Linked DNA regions of Mus musculus: all the other regions are reported to be linked to region 1. Evidence: microRNA targets listed by miRTarBase, many of them from high-throughput screens and not tested one by one. Region 1 holds a microRNA gene; each other region holds the end of a gene's coding sequence.
Evidence for each region. The annotated mature microRNA mmu-miR-758-3p reads UUUGUGACCUGGUCCACUA and lies in region 1 at 1,739-1,757, opposite strand. An mRNA with a match to its seed (bases 2 to 7 or 8) in the 3' UTR can be bound and repressed. Matches are read on the target gene's strand: a 7mer-m8 pairs with bases 2 to 8, a 7mer-A1 pairs with bases 2 to 7 and ends in A, and an 8mer does both.

Region 1 (4,740 bases):
CAGAAAGCTCTACTGCTGACCACAACCCTGGGTGGAGTTAAGGACTAAGAACAGATTTCACATCTTTTGTTTATTTGTTTGTTTGTTTGGTTGGTTGGTTGGTTTGGTTTTTTTCGAGACAGGGTTTCTCTGTATAGCCCTGGCTGTCCTGGAACTCATTCTGTAGACCAAGCTGGCCTCGAACTCAGAAATCCACCTGCCTCTGCCTCCCAAGTGCTGGGATTAAAGGCGTGCGCCACCACTGCCCCGCTCCAGATTTCATATCTTAAAGCTCACTGGGCAAATGTGTGTGCCAATTTCAGGTTTGCTTTCCTACTGCTAGAACACTGCTGATTCCAAGTCTCTTATTACAAGGATGTGGGTGTGTGTGAATAGCATGGATCTAGGTACCATCTGACACAGTGGGTGTTCTCTACAATAGACAGTCCTATAGCAGGGGTTGGCTGATTAAAAGCCCATCACCGTGCCTCCAAAGCATGCTGGACATGTGTGGGGGTGGCTGTGTCTAACCTGTTAGAAGCAAAGTGGGTGCAACCTACCTGTGATGACCTGGGGTAGAGTTGCCTCGGTGGCTGCCATCTTCCCCAACTTTGGAACACCATATTGGTTGAGAAGTCCTCCTGAGAATGGACAAGATACTGAAGGTTAGAAGCACAGGCAACAGAAATCTGATGTATGGGATGGGTTTTGTCCGTCACTCACTTGTTCATAACTATTAGTGTGTCCTCAGCTGAGGCTGAGGTATGGACCAGAAGGCCTCCATAGTTTGTTCTGATGGGAAGAGAGGTTGACCAAATGTGTTTCAAACACAGAAACCCCTCTTCCACATCCTCAGTTAACAATAACAATGACACCTTCCCAAACTGGACCTTCAGACCTGGCAGGCCTGGGAGGGTTTAGAGGACAAAGGACACCATTCAGAACGATAATCCACTCGCTGGCTTTGTGGAGAACCAGTTATTCCTGTCCCCTGGCTGGATGCTGACAGGACCATCCTTCCCTGAGACTGGGATCTGGACCACGAAGCCTCCAAGATGGGATTTGATACTGAAAAAAAGGTTAGCTGGGTGTGTTTCATTCTCATCAAAGAAACAGAGACCCAGAAAACCTCTCTTCCGGTACCAGAAGCGAACACTGACAAGACTACCTCGGTAATTCCCCAACGTGACCTTCAGACCTGGCAGGCCTGTTGAATGCAGGGTTGCACACTGGATGTTAGTCAAAGTGCTCAAGCAAGCCATTAGTTGATATATATCTGACAGCCATCCCATCACATGCCCCAGTACAGCAGACCTCCATGGCATGATCCTGAAGTTATGTCACAACCAGAGAGCAGTGGCGCAGTAGAGACTGGCTATAGGACTTACCACCATTTTGGGTAACCACAGAAAGGCACAGATGCCCCCAAACCAAAGATGATTCCTCCCACAGATTTAGCATGCAAGTGTGCTAAGGTGACCTGCGACCTGTGCCATATATAAATGGCATACACACACCCTGGTCATGTCTGACAACATGGTACGTTTCTTGAACTTGGATGGCCCCATATCAAGGAAGGGATCCAAGTATAGGACAGCATTGGAAGCCCATCCAATACTACCATAACAGGCACATATGTTGCAAGTACTGAGGATGCTGTCTCCAAGTCTAACAGCGTACAGCTGGCTTATTGCCTCTGTCCCCAAAAGTTGAGATCTCTTCCAGGAAGTTCTCCAAGGGAAGGTTAGATACTGAGGGTTAGTGGACCAGGTCACAAACGGCACAAATATAGCGTGTGCTCTCTGGTCAACCACCTCACGCACCCACACGTGTATCACATGTCGATGCCACTTTCCTGGTCTGCAAGTCACCCTGCCCACGAAGCTGCCAAGCCAGAGAAATTTGCTGAGAAGAAGGCTGCCACACAAGAGTTATTGTCAGACACAAGAAAAGACAAACCCGCTGGCTGGGTTGCGCTAGCACACACATTTAGTGTCCCCACCCCACAGCTGGTGTTAGCTCCAGGAAAGCTCGCAAGGCGGGATTAGATACCGCAAAGAGGTCGACCGTGTAATGTGCGCCATAAATGAAGCGAACGCGCCACGGACCACCTCTCTCCAAGTACCAAGCAGCAGCAGTAGGAAGACCGGGACACTGGCTCTTCCTCAAAGCAGATGTCACCTCCTGGAAGTCTTCCAAGGCGAGATGTGATATTGAGAAGAAGTAGACCATGTGTCCTACGTCATAAATAAAGCGTACACACCATGGTCAACCGCATCTTCAAATACCTTGAGGTAACGCTGGCTGATTCCAGCTCACTTTACTTAATTTGGTGTTACCTCCAAAATGCCTTCTCAATGAGTGTCACAAACTACCAGCAATCGGCATGTGTGGCAATGGCCACAAACTCATGTTTAATGCCACTATGACTTCCAGGATGCCCTGTAAGGCTGGGCTGGGTGCCAAATATTGGCTTTGGATCAAATGGCCAGAGTCGTAGGTAATGAACATGGCCTGTAGCCAAGCACTGGGTAATCTGTGTTGGATAGGGTCTGCCGCCTGAGCCCTACTCTCAATTGGTATGGCTTTCAGAAAGCCCCTGGTGACCGGCTGATGCAGAGATGTGGTGGACCATGCTGTACATGCTGGAATTAACGCACACACTCGACAGTCTACCATCTCCCCAAGTACTGTGCTGAAGCCAGGACAGGATATCTCCCATGAAGTTGGCTCGGTCTCTGGAAAACCCTCACGAATGACTTTGATAACGAGAAGATGTGGACCATACTACATACGACACAGAAGTAGCGCATGTTCTATGGTCAACCATCTTTTCAGGTACCATGGAGAGAGGGTGGTGCAGGAGCTGGCTTCTTTCCTCATGATTATCACTTCCAGGAAACCCTAGATGCAATGTTGAAAAGAGACCACCATGCATTGCCTGCTGCAGATGCAGAGAATATAGCAAAGAGAAGTTTGCAAGGACGCGAAGAGAAGACCCCGTAACTAGCACTGTGCCTTTAAGGAAATATTGTTCACAGGAAGCCCCCAAGGCGCATTCACTATTATGGGAAGGTGGACCAAATTAACATGCGCTGTAAGTAAAGCAAGAAGCATGGACAACCTCTACCCCAAGGCATTTGTCCTTCTGCCTTGCCCCCCCACCCCCAAGGTTAATGGGGCCTCTTTGGAAACCTTCAAAGCTGAAGTTGATATTGAAAAGAGTAGGCCAGGTTACAAATGGTGTTAATAATACACATGCAGTTTGCTTGATCCCTCTTCAGGTACCGTGAGGTCATTGCTGATGCAAGAACCAGAGCCCTGTCTCTGAGGCTAGCAGCATCTTCAGCAAGTTCTCCAAGGCTGGGCTGGAGGTAAGAAGAAGTGAGCCAAGAAGCAACTTTGATCTGTAAGCATACATGGAGGAGCCAGGCTGGGTCATCTTCCTCTAGAAGGCTAGACTTGATATGGAAAAAAAGATACTATATACGAAGCATCAGTGGAAACAGGGACTGTGTCTTCATGCATCTGTCTTTGCACTGTATCATGTAGCCCTAGCTGTCCTTCTATGGGCATAATGTCTTGAAGGCATCTGATGATAGCTTTGCAGATGATGAAAACACGCAGCATCCCTTGATGATGAGCATCTGTGGAGCTAATTGCCACTTTTTCAAGTCCTAAGGAGGGAGGGAGCATGCCCAGTTGGGATGTAGGACACCTTCCTGGAGGTTGTCATCATCCTTGAAGAAGCCCTTAAGGGCTGCACTGAAGCTGACAGGAACACCTTGCCACATGAATTAACAGAGAAAGCACACAAAAAGCAGAGGGATGTTTGGCCAAGCAGCCCGATGTAGAGAGCAAGCCAAAACAACGTTTCTTCTCTCACTTCAGGCTTGCTCGAGGATGGTATGGACTGGATGGCTGGGCTGGATACCAAGAAGCGGTTTACCGTCCCACATACATACTCAAAATGTATGTGGGACGGTAAACCATTTCTTCAAGTACCGCGTGACAGCAAGGACAGCTGTAAGAAGGTTCATGTCTGCCAGGTTGCCTCAGGACACCTCTTCAGGGATGGTGTTGAGAAGAAGCAGGTCATGGAGTCTACTAACCAAGAGTCGCCTAGACACCCCTGTCACTGAGGTCACGAAGAGCACTGATCCCAGAAAGCTTTGTGGTCTCCTCCCCAGAGATGGCAAGAGTTCCCAAGGCAGAGCTCAGCAGAGGAAGGGGGAGATTATGTCATTTCCCATCATGCAGGAAAGAACACACGCCATATTGAAAACCATCTCTTCCAGCATCATGGAGAAGCCCTGATGATGAGTCTACTGGCGTCTCCCCGAAGACAGCATCTTCTCCAGGGGCCTCGGGGATGGATTTGATACTGAGGGTTAGTGGACCGTGTTACATACGTCACAGATAAAGCGTACGCTATACGGTCTACTATCTCTCCAAGTACCACACAGAGACGCCGAGGACAAAGGCTGAGGGCACGTCCAGGAAGCCCTCTGGGCCATTGAGCTGGTGGAATCTTGAGTCTGGCTGGGCACAAAGCATGCATCATGCGGCAGGCACACAAAAGCCAAGAGTCTCATCTTCATGTCAGGTTTGACACCAGCAACTCATCCCCAAAATCGGCAGCTCTTCCAAAAGCTCATAAAGGTTGCAGACAAACGATGCTGTGGGGGTTACTACTCCACAAATGCTGCTGAAGTGCCTACCGGGTGCTGAAGGAATGGGCACTCAGGGACAGTAGGCATA
Region 2 (4,740 bases), not on the chromosome of region 1:
CAAACACACCGGACACTCGAGCCGGGAGGGGGCGGGGCGCGCCCCTCCCATCGCTGGGGGGAGGGGTGGCGGGCACTAAATATAGACTTCAAGGACTGCCCGGGCAAAGATTGCCTGAGCCTGGCGGGTCGTGCCTCAGGGGGTGTGTAAGTGGGAGGGGAGGACCAATCTGGAAGAAGGGGCTCTTCTCTTCCAACTCTCCTAGGGGTGCCCCAGGCTCCAGGGAGATTCGAGCATGAGGGTTCGGGGGTGATGAGTGTCAGCATAGCAGTGGGAAGTACAGAGCTGCCGGGTCTCAGCATCACTGCGCTCCCAGAGGGAGCTATGCCCAAGCTGGGAAAGTTGGTGAATTCATCGCATCTTGGTGCAGATTTTGACGTCAGCTCTGCCCTAACTTAGGTAGGCTCCTTGGTGCGCCCAAGGCCTGTGCCGTACACGTACTCGCGAGGTATACTCAGAGCCCTTTGCCGGCCAGTCTTTATTTTTTCTAACAACCTCTCAAAGGGGTATCGGGACCACGCTCCGAAAGACTAAGTTTTGGGTGATTCCGGTACACAGGGGGTGGGCTTGGAAGAGTAATTTGGGGTGGAGGGAATAACTCTGCCTCCCACTCTCGGCTCGCGAGCGGTAATTCCAAGAATTCGCTGAAGACCTAGTTCCCCTCCTGACAGAAAATGACCTTTCTGCGAGGGTCTCTGATTTGAAGCGGGGCAGAAGAGGGCTCACAGTGTGTGAAGGAACTTTCTGAGATAACCTCAGAGAAACAAGTCTGGAGCCTGTTGTGGACACCTGTCTCCCAACTGCTGCAGTGTGATGACGGTCAAGGTTTTTTGTTTTTTGTTTTTTTTTTTTTTTCATTCGACAAACGGTATCCAGTCAACTAGCAAGAAAAATCTCAGGGGCGGCAGGCTGGGCAGAATAACCATTAAAGAGGACTGTATTCCTCACAGCTGGGGTGGGGAGAGGAGGGAGAGAGGGCAAGTGTAAGGCCCAGCTGGGGCCTCATCCCCGTCCCAAGAAGTGAAATTTATTGCCTCAAAAGGCAGAATGGAAGTTTGGGGGAGGGGGAGGTCTGTGTAGTCGGTCAGGCCGCAAGCGGTTATTCTATTTACTGAGCTCCTACTGTGTTCCAGGTATTTCTAGCGTCCTGAGCCAGACGGCTCTCCTGGAGCACTCAGAGAACAAAGCTTGGGGATCACTGACATGTCAGCAGGGGGTGGGGAGGTGAGGAGGTGGCCGGGGGAGGAGCTGAAAAGTCCTTGGCTATAGCGGAGTGTTGTGGAGAGGTCCGGGATGGGTCCGGAAGGGCGGGGCCTTAACACCATGTGGCCAAAGCCAGGTTTTTCTTCAGTGGAGCTTCTGGGAGGCCTCTTGGCCAAAAGAAGCTTGAAGGACCCTAAGAAAACGCGTCAGACTTTATTATGCAAATAGAAGAGTCAATCTCAGGAAGTGGGAGGCCGCCTCCTCGGTACAGCCAGCATTTGCTGGTACCCATTGTATCCCTTCTGCCCACCTGTCCAAGAGAGAGGTCACCTGCACACAAAGATGCACACAACTGTCTTATTTCCCTGTGAGCTTTGGGGGGGGGGGGCAGACAGGGAACTGATACCCTCAGAGGGGTTTCACCATCGGTGGTAAACACCCCATTCTTTACTCTCAAAGGGACAGCGCAAAGGTATTTGCTAACTCACTATGGCCCTGCCTCAGTCCCCAGAATGCTGGAATTACAGATGTGTGCAGCTGTGCCAGCGTCTTTTATGCTTGTGTGTGTGTGTGTGTGTGTGTGTACTCGGCAGGAGGCAGGCAGCCAGAGACTGGTGGTGGTCTCAATTGCTAGCCTCCTTATGTTTTGAGACAGGGTCTCTCACTGAACCTGGAGCTGCCCAGCAGGCTTCCGGGATCCTCCAGGGTCTGCTTCCACAGAGCCAGGAGTCTGGGAGGACACTGTGTACTTAGCTCTTGGCATAAGCCCTGCAGATTCGAACTCAAATCCTCAACCTTGCGTGTTGTATGGCAAGCACTTTCCCAACAGCCTTCTTCTCTGTCCTTCACTGCTGACAAACCTTTTCTGTTTCATTTCTCCCCTTGTTATGCATTCAGGGCTCACCTCACAAACTCCATTACCCAACTCATCATCTCAGGGCAACCAAGAGGGGGTGTGGTCGGGACCATGGGTGAGCCACGAATCAGGTCCTCAGGCTCTGGCCCAGTGTGCTTTTCCTGCACACCAGGGGTTCTGAGCCTGGCTGCTGACAACATTTTGGATTGGCTAGTTCATTGCTGTGAGGATAAACCATACCATGTGGGTATGGGTTTTTTTTTTGTTTTGTTTTTTGTTTTTTTGTGAGACAGGGTTTCTCTGTGTAGCCCTGACTGTCCTGGAACTTACTCTGTAGACCAGGCTGGCCTCGAACTCAAAAATCTGCTTGCCTCTGCCTCCCGAGTGCTGCAATTAAAGGTGTGTGCCACCACGCCCGGCTCATGTGGGTGTGTTTTGAGTGTGTTTTCTTCCTTCCTGGTGTGGCAATGTGGAAGGGTGAGTGAGCCTTTAAGGGGCAGCGCCTAGTGGAAGGCAATTATGTGAGGGGCTCTGCCTCTAGGGAGTGAGTTCTTACAGAAGTGAGATTCTATAAATAAAGCAAATTGCGATTACTGCACATAAGTGCTTGCTTTCTCCTCTTTTGTGATGTTGTGACAGACGGGGCCTTTTACAGGGCATTCATGGCATGCTGTTTGGACTTTCCAATCACCAGAACCCTAAGCCAAAGAAAACTCTTTACTGTAGAAAGCACCCAGCCTCTATCGTTCCGTTACAACGACACAAGACAGATTAAGAGATGCTGTAAGGAGGATGCTGAGGGCACCCTGAGCTCAGCGATGCCCCCTCCAGTCCTTGCCTCACCAAATGTCTCCTGTGGCAAAACTCCCTGTTGTTCTCTGACCACTACTCTTTACCAACCTGGCCAGGGAAAGCATCCCAAGTCCCAAGAGTCTCCCAGGGGAATTCGTCCCTTCCCCCAGGAATCCTTTGATAAGTAAAACAGTAAGAATGAGATGAACACAAGTTGACCTGGGGCTCAGAAACAATCCTGTTTTAGGACCAAGGACCACAGCAGCCTCCAGAGTGCACAGTTCAATTCCTAGCCACACTGCTGGCTACTCACTTGGTGCCCTCTGGCCTCCCCTGTTCGGCTTGGCCCACCCCTGCAGGCCCCACCACCAAGGAGGTGTGAAACAGAGCTGTCCATGGTTGTTGGTGGTCTGGCTTTGTAATTGGACTAAGCGATGGTGGGATTTCTGGCCCTAGAAAGCAGACTTTTGAAGTTTCTCTTATCTTCCCAGCGCCTTTCTCCTTTCCTGATCCCTCGTTCCCCCAGGCTTCTGAATTCATCGAGAGAAAAGTGAGAGAAATGAGATAGGTCAACCCAGACCATCCTTTTCCTTTCTGTGAAATCAAGGCAGGTGAGTCATATTCTACTTCCAGACGGAGGGACACAGTACAGACCCCAGGGAGGGTAAGGCTGCCCTCTAATGGAGCATACTTTAGACTGGGAGTCACAGGCCTTGGCCACCGGAACTGGGCTGTAACAACTGCAGTGACCAGACAGGAGACCAGCTGAGGTCAGTCCCGGCCCTGAGCTCAGAGCCATCCCTCTGCAACCTAGCTCTGCTCCTTCCGAGTCAGTTCTTGAGCCCAGCTTTCCAGTGAGGATCCGCACCTGCGGGATGTGTGTCCTATTCATGTGGCATCCATAGTACCCAGCAAAGGTCTGGACATAAAGCTGGACTTCGCTAAAGAAAGTCACCAGATTGATAAGTGGCCACGAGACAGCACCTGGGCATGAATGATGAGAACGGGTCCCACGCTGGTAGGGAGAAACACAATCCTAATATAGTAGGTATTGAGAGTTGTGTAACTTAACTCAACCCAGACATTGTCAGATCTAACTCCAGGGCTGCCTGGCTCAGGACGTCAGCCCCAACACAGAAGGGCCAGTGTCCTTGGCAGGGTCATGGTTCCCATAAGGAATGTGAGCTCCCAGATCTGCGGTCTCAAGTCCCAGCTCTGAATGTTGGGGTCCAGTGTGAGCCATGCAGAGGGGTCAGCAAGGAGCTAGTCGTGCAAGAGTTGCAGGGAATCCGGGAGAACCCCGATCTTTGAGCCATCTCCTTCCACGAGGCCAACCTGGGTGAAGAAGGATGAAGCTGCCAGTTAAAGCTTCTTTTGCATCTTCTCTGGGAAACGGCTACAGTCAGGCTCGAACTCACACAGTCCTGGACTAAGCAGGAAGGTGGCACCAAGCTTAACAGTGGCTACCTCAGCCCACGGTGTTGTCACCACGGAAAGAGGTCTCCCTCCCCTCTCTGCCTGTTCTTGAACCAACTCTACAGCCCAGGCACCTACACTTCAAAGCATACACAAGTGCGCCTACCGGAATGTGCCTTCTACTACACAGAGGCTGCCGGGCAGAGGGACTGTCTTCCAGACTTCGGCCTCCCCGTCTGTAGGATCGAGTGCTCTCTGAGCTGGAAGGCAAAGATGACCGGTTGTTAACTCTGCTGGCGGAAGCACCGCAGAGGGACCCAGGTAGACAAACAAGGCTGGGAGGGGGGGGGGCGGGGTGAGGAGAATCAGAATCCACCAGGCCCCTAGGCTGGGTCTTCACAGGCCCTGGAGGTCTGGAACTGACCTCTCCCCAGAGGGCTCTGAGGGCACTCCTAAGTCCATAGGGAACTAAG
Region 3 (4,000 bases), not on the chromosome of region 1:
TTCTCTTTTATCCACAAACACCCCCATTTATCTTTTCTGTTGTTGATTGAATTGAAACAGTGGTATCTTCTACATGACTGCCATGGACTTTTATTCATGCCCCATTTACTTTTCTTTCTAGATTGTGAGTACTCAGTAGCACAGCCTTTATCCTATATTTATCTCCTATTTTCCACGTTCATTTCATTAGACAGTTTTATTTCTGTAAGTTTATGGCTTTCACACCACAAAAGAAGAGACAGAAATTAGAAACCTGCTTAAACATTCCATTATCTGCCTTCTCCTCAGTTAACGGTAAATTTGAACATACAGTGTTCCTGAACTTAGCCCTCCACTTTTCTATGAACAAATGTTTAAAAAGAAAAATAGCCCAAAATTGGAGCAATATTCTTTGCAAATGTCTTTGCAAATATTCATGGTGGAAAATGTCATAAAATACATAACATCTTGACCAGCTTATGTGGGGTGAAATACATTTTTATCGAAACATTTTAGTGAAGAACTTTCAACAGATTTTAAATTTAGAACAAAGAAACTAGGACCCGAATGAACACCACACACACACACACACACACACACACACACACACACACACAAACACACCACAATCACACCACATACACACAATGCAACAGCACTATGAAGGCAACAAGAAGATGCACACACACACAAACAACTCACTAACATCACATACACACAATGCGATAGCATTGTGAAGGCAACAAGAAGACACACACACATACACAGAGGGAACCAATGTCATAAAGCTATATGTAATTCCTTTGAATAAGTTGCATAAATATGGTCAAATTTTGAGACATGAACACACCAATCATTTTCATATAAATGTTTTATTGCAGAGAAGTTATAGTTATTTACATGCTGCAACACATCACAACATAAATTACCAGGTATTCCATGGTGGGATGCTGTAGATTTAGATAATAGTTTTAGAAGAACCACAGGTTAAGTGAAGAGACTTACAGCTTTGTTGACTCTACAACTCTTGACTGCTAAGTGCTAGAAGTCAAAGGCAGTGTGTTGTCAGTCCTACCTATCACCACTCGCATGCAGAAACCTAGGAAGCAAATACAAGACAACTGTCGGGATTCAATCCGTATTGCCACCGAAGTTTACGAGAGGTCAAGTCATAATTTATGTTGTAAAGCATTTAATTCTTGCATAAAATATACACTTCTATTAAGACAGATATAAATCTACTTATTTATAAACCCTGGCTTAAAACAACAACAGGGTGCAGCCTGCACATGCATTGAAAGGACAACCTAGCAAATGTTTGTGAGACCTTCACACTGTATGCACTTTCTATTGTTCTCAGCCAGGGAAAAGAGCTTCCAGAATGACAGAGTTCAATTTCTTTTGGTGATAAGTTATGAAAATGAAGCTCTAGGAAAGAACCTAGCTATTTGTGCTGATTTGTGGCGGTGGAGAGTAATCTATGGGGGGCAGGGGCAGACTGTCACTATGGTATAATTTGGCAAATCTTCTGTGAGCCACACATCAAGCAGGGTCACCCTGAAGTGCAGTGAAGTCAGTGACAGTTGCCTGCTTAATTCTGAGGCAAATCTAGTGCTAACAGCTCTCAGACACAAGTGAAACAAGTACGCAAGTCTACAAACTCTAAGCCAAGTTCACAAATGCTCCTCAAAATAGAATTCTAAAGTCACAAAGTAGATAGGCTTTGATTGGAAGGGTGGGGATGATAGGGATTAATGAAGGCAGCAGTTAGCAATAAAATCTCTATAGATTTCCAAACCTAGCCCACCAACCTGAGTAATGAATGAAGCAAGCAAATGGGTATGCCCAGCTCTGCCAACTCCTCAAGTGCTTGCTTTCTCCTGAATACAAAAGTAAACACTGAGCAAAGTTTGATGATAGACACAAAGCATAAGCACAGCCTTATATCCACCTTCTGATTCCTTCTCCCCTCCTGCATCATCCTAGCAAATTCTTTTTGTTGCTCACCAAAGGTAAAACAGTTCCTATGGATGGAAATGTCTTCGTCACATAAGCAGTTGTTTAGTATTTATGATGGGAGAAAATCAAGCCTGGGCTGTAGTTTTAAGTGATAGATCTTTAAATGAAATGTGCCTGGATTTTAGAGTCTTATTTCGGCATTGCAATCCTTAGAGCTAAGTCAGAAGCTCAGGATGTTTATGCTAGAGATCAGCATGGAATGCAGCAAGTTCTAGAAGATATGCTTTGATGTATGCACACCAATCTTAGGCTTTGCATTTTGAGCTAGGTGGCTTGCAAGGACAGTTTGAAGGACTTGTAAGTTCTGGTACTGGGGAGTGTAAAGAGCCTGTACCACCTATGGGCTTTGAGTAAATCAAGTTATAAAATCTCTTTGGGATTTGAGCCCAGCAAATTCTGTACCTAGATGAAGCAATGAATAAAAGTTTATGAGAATAAATAGTTTAAGGTAATTTAAAATATATTTTCAGTATGCATAATAAAAATATATCCATACAATGATCTTGATGCTATCATTAATTTTTCTCTTTATAAAAATAATCCCTGGAGCTATTAGGAGCGACCTTTCTGTATTTGTCATGAAAGGCAATTTCCTGGACCTGCAGTATGCACTCGTTGTTAAGGCGCTCCTAGAGTTGGCCTCTTCTGTTGGTAACAATGTACAGCATAGTTTCCTCATTCGGCTTCTTCCTTAGGAAATGCTAATGTGAAATACTGAAAGAGTCATTGGGTTGATTTAGCTCTGACTTGGAACAAACAATGGATAAGTTGTCCTTAACTTACTGAGACATATGACTAAACAGGACCACTTCATCTCCGAGATTAATAAAGCTTCAGAGTCCCTACAAGAAGTGTAGAATAAGCAACTCAACTTATATTTAAAAATTAAGACATTACAACAAGCCATGGTGGGAAACAAAAGAGTCAGACCCAACTTCACTATATAAACCACAGCCCAAACTAAAAGTTTTCATCTTAACTGTTATGGCTTCCTAAGCCAGAGAAAGCTTACTGTACTCCAAGACTCAACCACACTTGGTAGATGATAGCAGGTATTTGGTAGGTTGCAATGACAATTGAGTAGCTGCAGATTGCATAAATGTGTTGTGTCATATAATATCAAAGTTATTTGCAAAAATTATACAATCTGGAATGCTTGAATACAAGACACAACAATGTACTGGAACAGATTTTAAGAAAATGAGAGCAATCGTGTATATAAAAGGTATCAGGGTGCATTAAGTTAGCAGTGCTACCAAGGTTAAATAGGTAATGAAGGTTGGCTTTTCAGTCAGCTACTTAGAATCACAGTCACATTTATCTAAGTTTTCCCATCTTAAAATCCATGCGTCTGTCTTCCATGCCTCCTGGTGAATCTTGCTTGGTACCATTCAATCCCATGTGTAAAGACAGACAGGGCAATGTCCCTTAAACAGGCGGAAATGCTAAGCTGTCCTCCAGTGTTGATCTGGCTTTTCATGGCAGAGTCAGCCTTCCTTCTTATGATGCATAATTGCCTTTTTCTGGCCTTCTCCAGCCCTTGCCTTCACCTTACTGCACTATGTGCCATGTTTCCCTAGGCTAACAAAGATGCCTTGGTAACTTGTGATTTTCAGATCTATTTTTATCAAACTCGGGATTACCCCTTTCTTCCCAGGGTGGTCCACTTTGAAAGTGTCCCAGACTTCCTATTTCTGAGGCCCTGGTATCTTATTTGCACTTAAAGCAGAGGAGGCAGGTAAAGTTACGCTTCTTTCAGCATTTGGTTGTTCTAGGGGCTCGAACTCCCAGGGACACACTTCGGCTCGTGATGTTAAGGGCTGATGGGAGTTATTACTTGAGTTACAGGAGCCAGGAATGATATCCACAGAGGAAGATGTCTGTTTCTCCTGGTCTCCCATTTGGTTGAGATTTTCATTCTCTACTTTTGGTGCTACGACTTTGTGGGGCAGTTCTTCATATTGCCCAGCACACATATTGGTTGTGTAGAGCTGGCTTCCAT
Region 4 (4,617 bases), not on the chromosome of region 1:
CCCACTGACATACTTCCTCCAATAAGGCCACACCTCCTAGTCCTTCCCAAACAGTTCAATCAACTGTGGAGCCAAGTATTCAAATATGGGCCTACAGGGCCATTCTCATTCAAACCACTACATTAGGCTTGGTGGCAAGCACAGTCACCTGTGGAGCCATCTTCCTGGCCCTATTTCTTTTTAAAAAGCAGTAATTTTCATTACAAAATGAAACTATAATCAAAAATTAAGGTTTACTTTTCCTTTAATTTTAGTTTTCGGTTTTTCTTTTCTTGTCTTTTTTTCTCTCTCCTTCCTTATTCCCTCCCTCCCTCCCTTCCACCCTCCCTCCTTCCTTCCTTCTTTCCTTTCTCTCTTTTTGGAGACTGAGTCTCATTCTTGCCTTGAATTCTGGATCTTCTTGCCTCCGTCTCCAAAGTGCTATGATTAGAGACGTGCACCAGTGCACACTTGGCTGAAAACTTAATGGCCTAATACCCATCTCACAACAGTTTTCCTCTTCAGCTAGTACCAATAAATGAGGCCTTTTCAACTTTGCTCTTTCCCAGCAAGGGGGTTAAGTGACATACTGGAAGCAGATGAATGCATATTTTAAAATGCATTTGCTTCATTTTTCTTTATTAAGCGTTTATTATATATCTGGCACTGCTGTGAAGTGAATTACCTCAATCCTAATAACAGGGTAGTATTAAGTCCCTACTACACAGAGAATTAAAATGGCAAGAGCCAAAATACCTGGCTTCAATTCTGTCTCCATCCTGTATCCGGAAAACAGATGGCAAGTTATCTGTATCTCAGATACATTCTGGGAAAATGTCCCAGAGAGGCCCCAAGTGGGATGAACTACCTCAGGCTCTGAAGGGGAGAGGAATGGTCACTACCTCCTCTGGCTTTGTCTGGGTCTCTTTGGGCTTCATTTCTTGGTAAAGAAAAGGAGTAGAAACCTGGTCTGCTGACTGCCTCAGTTTACCATGAGACCCATTGATAGTGACTGTAGCAAACCACCCTCGCCTGAAGCAGGGATGGATGGCTAAGCTGAGATCTCCCCCTGCTGCCACTGCTGTGCCTGAGCTTGGCCAGCTGCTACACTTGTTTCCTTCTTGCTTCTTCTAATACTTTTATAATAGAGCCTCCCAATTGAGGGTTCCTACAGGCTTAGCAACTACTGTTATTAAGCAATTTATGTGGAAAAACTGAGTGAGTTCTGAAACAAGTTGGAGGCATGTTACTACTATCTTTCTACAGAGGGTTATTGTTGTTCAACCAGGGGTCGTTCCAAGCTCCTTCACTGTTCCCTCTGAGGAAGTGGCAACATGCAAGCTGGATAACTTGGCCAAACCCATAGAGCTGGTAAGCTACCTGGCACCCCTATCGATTCACCTCTATGTCCCCAATGGCCACACGGAGATCTCCAGGCCCAGAAAGACTGCCACTGGGAATGATGGATAGGTAACTGAGTCCTCTAAACCTTGCAATAGTCCAGCCTCAGCGGCTAAAGAGCTAGAATTACCCGCATGCATTTCCCAGTTTGTGGGGGACAGGTATGTGAAGAGATGCATTTGCTGCTGGGGCCTGAACCCAGGCAGAGCCTTGTGCATGCTGGGTAAGTACTCTACCACTCAGCCTGTAACGCTAGTACTTAGCGGTTAGGCTACTTTGAGGTTTAGCGCGTATCCCCAAAGGCCTTGGGCTGTGCGGGTTAGCTCAGTGGTGACGCTTTTACCTAGCACATTAAGTCACCTCCTGTGGGTTTTAGAGAGTGAAGATCAAATCCCCACAGGTGAGTAACTTGGAGTTCATTTTGAAGACCATCTATCTATATATAGCCTAATGGAATTGTTTACATTTTTTAAAGATTTATTTATTTTTATTTATATGAGTACACTGCCTCTGTCCTTAGACACACCAGAAAAGGGCATCGGATCCCATTACAGATAGCTGTGAGCCACCATGTGGTTGCTGGGAATTGAACTCAGGACCTTTGGCAGAGTAGTCAGTGCTCTTAACTGCTGAGCCATCTTTCCAGCCCCCTAAAGGAATTGTTAAACATTGACTATTTTTAGCTATTTACTGTCTGAATAACCTTGAAAACATTTTATTGTAATTAACTAAATGAGAATCTAATATGACCGTGCGTTTGACTATCTGACCATGAACTTACATTACTTAATTCTAAACAGTTTGTAATAGCAGCTATCGAAAGGCCTGGGTCTGAGCCTTGTATTCCCCAATGAGTTGTATAGGCACAACTTCTATCTAAGAGTAGCACAACTAATTTTAAATTTTGTATCAATATACAAAGATTATGGCTATAAGATGCTTTAGGAATAAATGTAATAATCTATCCCTGTTTGTCTAATTTCTTATAATATTACTCTATTCCCATTTTCTCTTTTTAACCCCCTTCCCTTTACCTAAGAAAGAAGGACAGAGGAGAGGAAAGAAAGACAGAAATCCTTGAGTCTGAGCTCTCTATTTAGTTTCCTCCCTGGCCAAAACTATAATTATTTGTGAATTATCCCTTAAAATGACAACATATCTATAATTCATAAAGTGACTGAACCCATCCACCCCAACCTCGGAGACCGAGATGATGGTCTTTCTCTATTTGCTTCCTGTTGACTTGGGGCGACCCGCCAGGTCAGGTCTGCAGTGAGTCTGAGGAGGAGCATTCGGGAGGGAGTCAGTTAGGACTTATTTCCTAGTTCTGCTGCTTTTATGAGACTGTGGGTAATTTTCTTAACCTTTTAGGACCCGCTGCTTAAGTTAGCCGGGGACACTAAGGGTGCCAATCCAAGAGAATTAGCCACAAAGAAAGACTCTGGAGTCCACATGGTAAATTCTGTTTCCAGGGCATCTGTGGTGAACACAAACATGAGTCTAGTGCAGCAGGCATCCTGCGATTGCTGTTTCTACGGAAAGCAAGCCTCACAGGATGCAAAGGAAAGGTTATCTGTCAGGGATAACTAAGGATCTTCCTGGGAGGGTGGAGATGCAGCTCAGACGGTAAAGATTCATGAAGCCCCCGGTTTGGTCTCCAAGACTGCATTTGATCCTCGAGACTGCATAACTGTGCATGGTGTGGTACTGACCTGGAATGCTAGCACGGGGGAAGGGCAAGTGGATCAAGAGTTCGGGGACATCCTCAGGCACAAAGGAAGCCGAAGTCCAGCCTGGGCTCCCGCAGGTCACGTTTCAAAACAATGAAATAAAACCTAAGCCGTAGGTACCTAAAATGAGGTTATTTCTCAACCCCTTATCCCTGTAATGGAGGATCAGGGAGTTTTTGGTGGCAGGGAGGACAGGTGAGAAAATGAGACTAGAATTCCTACTCTCTGTCACTTTGACCCAGAGACTGAAAGGACAGAGAGGAGAGGCCCTGAAGATACAACTTCCCAAAGCTGTGTCCTCACCCCAGATTAGCTTTCTGATCATATCTGTATCAAAAAGGCACTAATGTGAAATCCAGAAAAACAAGAGCAAGAGTCCACACACATGTAAACAGCGTACTTAATAAGCATTTAACTTCTAGAAAGCCTGTGTGATTGGACTCCTAATTGTGTCTATGCTTACATAAAAAGGTGTATGGAATTCCAATTTAACTTAGATGTGGAGACCTCCACCCTCCACCCCCAAACAGGGTTTCTCTGTATAACTTTGGCTGCCCTTGAACTCGACACTCAAACTTGGGCACAGGCCATCAGATCTGTTGTCTTTCCACAATGACTGTACATACCAGGGAGCCTCATGGTGAGAGAGTAGCAGACTCAAGTCATGCTTGCATGTGCTTCTGCAGAAGCCATAAACATGGAGAATGTTTATAGACCCAACTTGAGTTAAAGTTCAATGTGCATATGCATGTATGTAGATACATACATACACATGCATAGATATACACACTTACATATATACATATATACATCTGCATTCATGTAAAGAAATAAAAACAAGATTTATTTCATTTCATCTTCCAGTGAGATTTCAGGAAAGAAGGAGAAAGGGAATATAGGAATATACTTATTCCGAGAACCCAGAAAATTCTCAAGATTTTTAAGTCTAGCTGCTGACGTAAGTGTACTTCCCACCTGGACTGACGTCACTGTCACTAGTGGGTTTTCTTCTCCACGTTCCGGATTTCCTTCTTCGTCTTCACCTTATAGCCTTCTCCCTGCTGGAGGAGAGCACATGTTACGTGTTTGCAGTGGAAGAGTTTGAAAGCAGTTTCCCACACTGATTCCTGGAGGCTGGATTAGGAAGGAGAAATGGGTGAGAGCACCAGGCCGTGTCGCATCCTCAGACACAGATGACCTTGGCTTTGACTGCACAGAGCAGCTCCCCAACATGCCACAGCATGCGTCAGCACTTTCAAGGTAATGACAGCATAACGAGACTTCATAACAACACGGAGGGTTAATGGTTTCAAAGAGCAGTCAGCCTGTTTCCTAACATAAGGTGGAAGAAATTGCTAAACATACCCACAAAGCACCTGAACCCCAACCGTTAACGATCCCCATTGGTTGTAGCTGATGAGATTTGTAGGTCAGCGGAGCCATAACTAGTCTGTGGTAGTGTGACTTGGACTTCCCAAATAAGCACGAAGCTAGGACAAAGTGCCCT
Region 5 (4,740 bases), not on the chromosome of region 1:
TGGTCCTCACGGAAGTCAGGGTTAAGAGCTTGAACAGACTTGGAGGGAGCTGTGTGTGGTTGGTGTTGAGCAACACCTCCCAGCTGGACTGAAAGAGGGCGTGTGCTCAACTGGCTCCTCACCAGCGGGACTTTGGGTGTTGCCAGCAAAAGGGGGACGATCCAAACTCAGCCCCGGAGGCTAGTTCTAAATATGTATATATTTTTTCACAATAAAAAAAATTGTAGGTGAAAACTGTCTAAGTAGGTTTGAAAAGAAGGCTATTGAAAAGGGAAGGCAGAGCCAAGTGTGATAAGCTGTACACCTAAACTCCCAGTACCATGGAAGCTCTGAAGTCCCAGCAAATTCCTGTAAGGCCACAGGGGCTAAACATTACAGCCCAGCACACTTATTTCGCATAATAAACCCCTCCTCCTGGATTCTTCAAGGCAAGATCTCTCTGTGGAACAATTCTGGATGTCCTGGAACTCACTTTGTAGACCAGGCTGGCCTTGAACTCACAGAGATCTGCCTGCCTCTGCCCCCTAACTAAAGGCATGTGCCACCATGCCTGGCAAAAATCATTTCTCAATAACAATAGAGGGACACCGGACAAGAATGGTCACAGGCATCTCCTGTTCCGTGTGATGATGCTGAGACCCAAGACTGAAGCAACGAGACCTTAGGAGTGTCGGAACCAGGGATGAGGGTGGCGACCAAGAGTTCTGGGTCCCTGAAGCTTTCAGAAAGGCATGCCTACTCTAAGTGCAGTAAGAAAGTGAAGGCCTGGTGTGGAGGCACACGCCTGTGATTGTGGACACGAGGGGGTCAGGACAACTTCGAGGAGTGGGCTTCTCTCCTTCCTACTTTACATGGACTCTGGGGCCCAAACTCATGTTACCAGGACATGCCGAGCCATCTTACAGCAGGCCTCTATGACTTAAAAAAAAATTACATTTATTTTTTTACATTTATTTTACATGCCAAAGCTGTTGCGGAAGTCAGAGGACATAGAGTCATTTTTACATGTTGAGCCATTTTGTGGGTCGCTCTATGACTTTTTAAAAACCTGTCTTCTCATATATTGTATCTACGATCTACACAGATTAAGATAAGAGGTGGGGTCAGGGCACAGTGGTGCACTCCTTTAATCCCAGCATTTGGGAAGCAAAGGTCAGTGGATCTCTGAGTTCCAGGCCAGCCTGGTGTACACAGTGATACCCTGTCTGGGTTTTTTCATTTGTTTGATTGTTTGAGTGTGAGTGTTTTGCCTGCATGTATATATATGTGTACCATGTGTATGCCTGGTGCCTGCAGAAACCGGAAGAAGGCATTGGATCCCCTGAAACTAGAGTACAGATAATTGAGATCTGGGTGCTGGCAACCGAGCCCAGGTACTCTGCAAGAACAAAAAGTACTCTTTACTGCTGAGCCATCTCTTCAGTCCCGAAACCATGTCTAGAAGAAGAGGAAGAAGAGGAGGAGGAGGAGGAGGAGGAGGAGGAGGAGGAGGAGGAGGAGGAGGAGGAGGAAGAAGAAGAAGAAGAAGAAGAAGAAGAAGAAGAAGAAGAAGAAGAAGAAGAAGAAGAAGAAGAAAGGAGGAGGAGGAGGAAGAAGAGGAGAAGGAAGAGGGAGAGAGGGGGAGGAAGAAGCTGGGGGTGTGGTCCAGTGACAGTGTCTAACAAGTACAAAACCCTGGCTTCAATCCCTAGTACCAGAGAAACTGGACGTAGTGGCAAATTTCTATAATCCCAGCACTTGGGAAGTAAAGGCAGGAGGGTCAGAAGTTCAAGGCCACCCTCATCACTCACTGCATAGCAAGCTTCAGTCTAACTTAACGTCCATGAGATCCTGTCTCAAAATGACAAGCACTCCCCCCACACTGTTGATCATGAATGCTGTGTCTGATAGAGCTCCACCTTCCTGCCCCCATTGTTAGGTCACTTGCTTTTATTTGTAGTTGCTTTGGGGGGACTCTCCCCAAGCCAGAAAGTAAACTCTAGGGCGATCCAGACCCTTTGTGCTTTGTTGACCAGAGTGCTTGGCATAGCAGGCTCTTCATAGACACAGACTTTCCTGAGGGCTGATTGCAGGCTGTCTAATCATAGGTGAGTAGTCATGAGAACGCTGAGATTTCAGGGCACAAAGCAACCTCAAAGGACACACCCGTCATCCGCAGTGCTGCATGGCAAGGGGCAGGGGGCCCGTGAGACTCGGAGGCGAAACGATAGACCCAGGGTCACTTGGACTTCTAGAATACCGGTGCACTTTTTATTAAAGAAGAGAATAAAGCATTTGTAAATATATTTCTCTCATGTATACTTCAAAGGTGACGCTGATCGGCTGCTACAGAACTGGGGAAGTGAACAGGCCTGAATTCCTCCCCATCCCCAGATGACAGGGACACACAGAGGGTCTGGAGGTGCCCAGCCCCAAAGGACAAAAGGTTCCAAGTCGTGTGAACAGAAGGATCCAGCTGCCAACTGGCATCCCAGTGCCACCTGGAACAGCGTAGCCTCTCCAGGGATGTCAGACATGCTTGATAAGAAAGCCCCTTTACCCATTAGAAGGAGGTAAGGCATGACGGTTCCTCCTGGGCTCCCAGCACTGAGACCACAGTCACTGCCTCCTGCCGGATTGTATGGCTCCTTTGATTTCTAGAATCTTGAGAAGGGTGGCGGAAGGAACCAGAAGTCCTGAAGGACTGCTGAGGGCAAGCTGGAGCCCTGGGCATGTCTTAAGTGATGCTTGACTTTCTGAAGTTTTAGACTAAAATACTGAACCCTTGACCCAGGTGGGGCCTCAAAAGTCATCCCCATAGAGGCGGGAGGTAAAGAAGAGGCATTCTGTAGAAAGGTGGAAGAGGAGACAGTTCTTCCTCAACTTAAGAACACAACGCAACATGAGGGCCCGGCAGTGGTAGATCACACCTTTAATCCCAGCACTTGGGAGGCAGAGGCAGGAGGATCTGAGTTGGAGACCAGCCTGGTCCACAGAGTGAGTTCCAGGCCAGCCAGGGCTACACAGAGAATCCCTGTCTCAAAAAAACAAAACAAAACAAAGCAAAACAAAAAAACAGATCAAAGCCCAACCAAACAAAACAAGTAAGGGTCCTACAGTCCCTGGTGAAGGACAGGCATGAACACTTGGACCTGGGTTGGTGACACTCCTACAGGACATTCTGAAGGCTGCAGATGTGAACTGTCCCTGGGTGGCCTGAGGAAGAGAGGACTGGATGAGACATCATGGTCCCTGAGATGGGGGCAGGCGCAGAGAAAGGAATGAAAGCAAAGGTGGTTTGCAGGCTTGGGGAGGGAGGAAGGGGTGAAACTCCCTACCATCCCGGCCCCTGGAAGGCTTCATGCCTAGAGGATAACTCCAGGAATGGAACTTGGCTCTGAGAGGAAAGGGACACTACCCGTGTATGGCTGTTGTGGGGTTCTCTCTTCCTCTATTCAGACTGGCTATAGATCTGTGGTGAGCAGAAGCCCTTTGCCAGGGCTGGAGGGGATACACTCGAGCCTGGCTAAACTTCCTGCTCTGCAAGGTGGGGGCTATCTGTGGCCTGCTCAGACCTCTGGGAGTGGTACAGCTGGTGCGAAGGGAATGACAGTCATAACTGGCAAGAAGCAGTGAGTGGTCTGGGAGACTCCAGACACCAGCAATGGCTGGCTCTGAGGTCCCCTTTCAAGTGTTTCCAGTTGTGACAAGGCTTCAGGAGGCCTTGCATTGCAAATCTCTCAGAAAAAAAAAAAAAAAAAACCAAAAAACAAAAACAACTTTGGAGGGCAAAGCTAGAAAGGCTTGCAGAAGACTGGCAGCAATCTGAGGGTGAAGCCTGGGGTCCAGAAGCTGAGGGCTGGGGGAGCTGAAAAGCCCCCAGGGACAGTGGTGGAGTGGCAGTGGCGGGGTGGGGAGTGTGTTTGGCTTTTAAACTGAGCTGTGCCTTTGAGCTGAAGCAAAGTGGCCAAGGGAGGCAGAACAGGTGAGCCGAGCCACCAGCAGGGAATATGCAGTGTCCCCAGCCACCTGCTATGATATATTGCTGCATAAAGGGCTTTCTCACTTGCCAGGAGGCTGCCAGCCAGGCATGAGGGACCCCTCTGGTCGGGAGGCGGAGGGAGGCGACAGGCCTAGAGAGGGGTCACTTGCTGCTGTGTGTCTTGACTTTGGTGGCGTTGATGTCGGCCTTGGTCTTCTGGATCCTGGCAAAGATCTCTTTGAAGAGTGCCTTGTACTCCGGCTGGCTCTGCTCCAGCCGCTTATCCACAGCCTCCACGTGCTGGCTTAGGCTCTTCTCACCCGCCTTGCCCTCTCCCGGGCTCTCTTCGCCCCCCAGTAGGTCCCTCCAGGAGCTGTCCCGGGAGATGGGCCGTGAGGTCTGCACCCCCGCGTGCCGCACTCCGGCACCGTGCTGCCGGCACTTGCTCAGTAGCTCCTCGTATTTCTCCAGCAGCGCGTGGTACTGCTCATCCACCTCCCGCAGGATAGACATACCGCGCCTGCGCACACTGTTGGCATGCAACGTGAGGTTGCCAGCATGGCGGCTGGCTGGGTCTTTGGCCACTATGGCATTGAGCGCCGTGTCACTGCAGCTCTTGCGCACTGCGTGGCTGGGGGAAGCGGCAGGCGAGGAGACACCATCCTGGGCATTAGAGTCATCTCCACTGCCTGGCTGGGGGTCATCGGCCTCAGGGGCCTGAGTGAGGGGCGCCAGCAGAGCCTCAGCCAGGTGCTCCTCCCGGGCCAGCAGGTAGGTCT

Region 2: miRTarBase lists Asap3 as a target of mmu-miR-758-3p. Seed matches in the 3' UTR shown: 7mer-m8 at 2,690-2,696, 7mer-A1 at 2,681-2,687 and 7mer-A1 at 2,341-2,347.
Region 3: miRTarBase lists Gpr158 as a target of mmu-miR-758-3p. Seed matches in the 3' UTR shown: 7mer-A1 at 1,297-1,303.
Region 4: the mRNA of Ank3 is a reported target of mmu-miR-758-3p. The part of its 3' UTR that is shown has no 7-base or 8-base seed match.
Region 5: miRTarBase lists Cdr2l as a target of mmu-miR-758-3p. Seed matches in the 3' UTR shown: 7mer-m8 at 3,681-3,687.

What each region holds. Positions count from the first base shown.
Region 1 is chr12:109,709,875-109,714,614 of GRCm38, reverse strand. It overlaps Mir758 (microRNA 758), which reads right to left and starts at 1,805; the gene lies at 1,725-1,805. It overlaps Mir411 (microRNA 411), which reads right to left and starts at 4,440; the gene lies at 4,359-4,440. Mir299a (microRNA 299a) reads right to left here and starts at 3,977; the gene lies at 3,915-3,977. Mir299b (microRNA 299b) reads left to right here and starts at 3,922; the gene lies at 3,922-3,970. It also overlaps Mir380, Mir1197, Mir323 and Mir329.
Region 2 is chr4:136,243,235-136,247,974 of GRCm38, reverse strand. Asap3 (ArfGAP with SH3 domain, ankyrin repeat and PH domain 3) reads right to left here. Exons shown (of 25, transcript NM_001008232.2): 24 at 4,434-4,527; 25 at 1,402-4,186. The coding sequence ends at 4,115. Tcea3 (transcription elongation factor A (SII), 3) reads right to left here and starts at 18. Exons shown (of 11, transcript NM_011542.2): 1 at 1-18.
Region 3 is chr2:21,827,380-21,831,379 of GRCm38, reverse strand. It overlaps Gpr158 (G protein-coupled receptor 158), which reads right to left. Exons shown (of 11, transcript NM_001004761.1): 11 at 836-4,000. The coding sequence ends at 3,687. Among named protein-coding and RNA genes, the nearest start is that of Gm39766, 13 kb to the right of the region's middle.
Region 4 is chr10:70,015,122-70,019,738 of GRCm38, reverse strand. It overlaps Ank3 (ankyrin 3, epithelial), which reads right to left. Exons shown (of 43, transcript NM_146005.3): 42 at 4,086-4,171. The coding sequence ends at 4,106. Among named protein-coding and RNA genes, the nearest start is that of Ccdc6, 80 kb to the left of the region's middle.
Region 5 is chr11:115,393,621-115,398,360 of GRCm38, reverse strand. It overlaps Cdr2l (cerebellar degeneration-related protein 2-like), which reads right to left. Exons shown (of 5, transcript NM_001080929.1): 5 at 2,229-4,740. The coding sequence ends at 4,124. It overlaps Gm32013 (a long non-coding RNA gene), which reads left to right. Exons shown (of 3, transcript XR_880312.3): 3 at 1-922. Among named protein-coding and RNA genes, the nearest start is that of Gm32013, 5.3 kb to the left of the region's middle.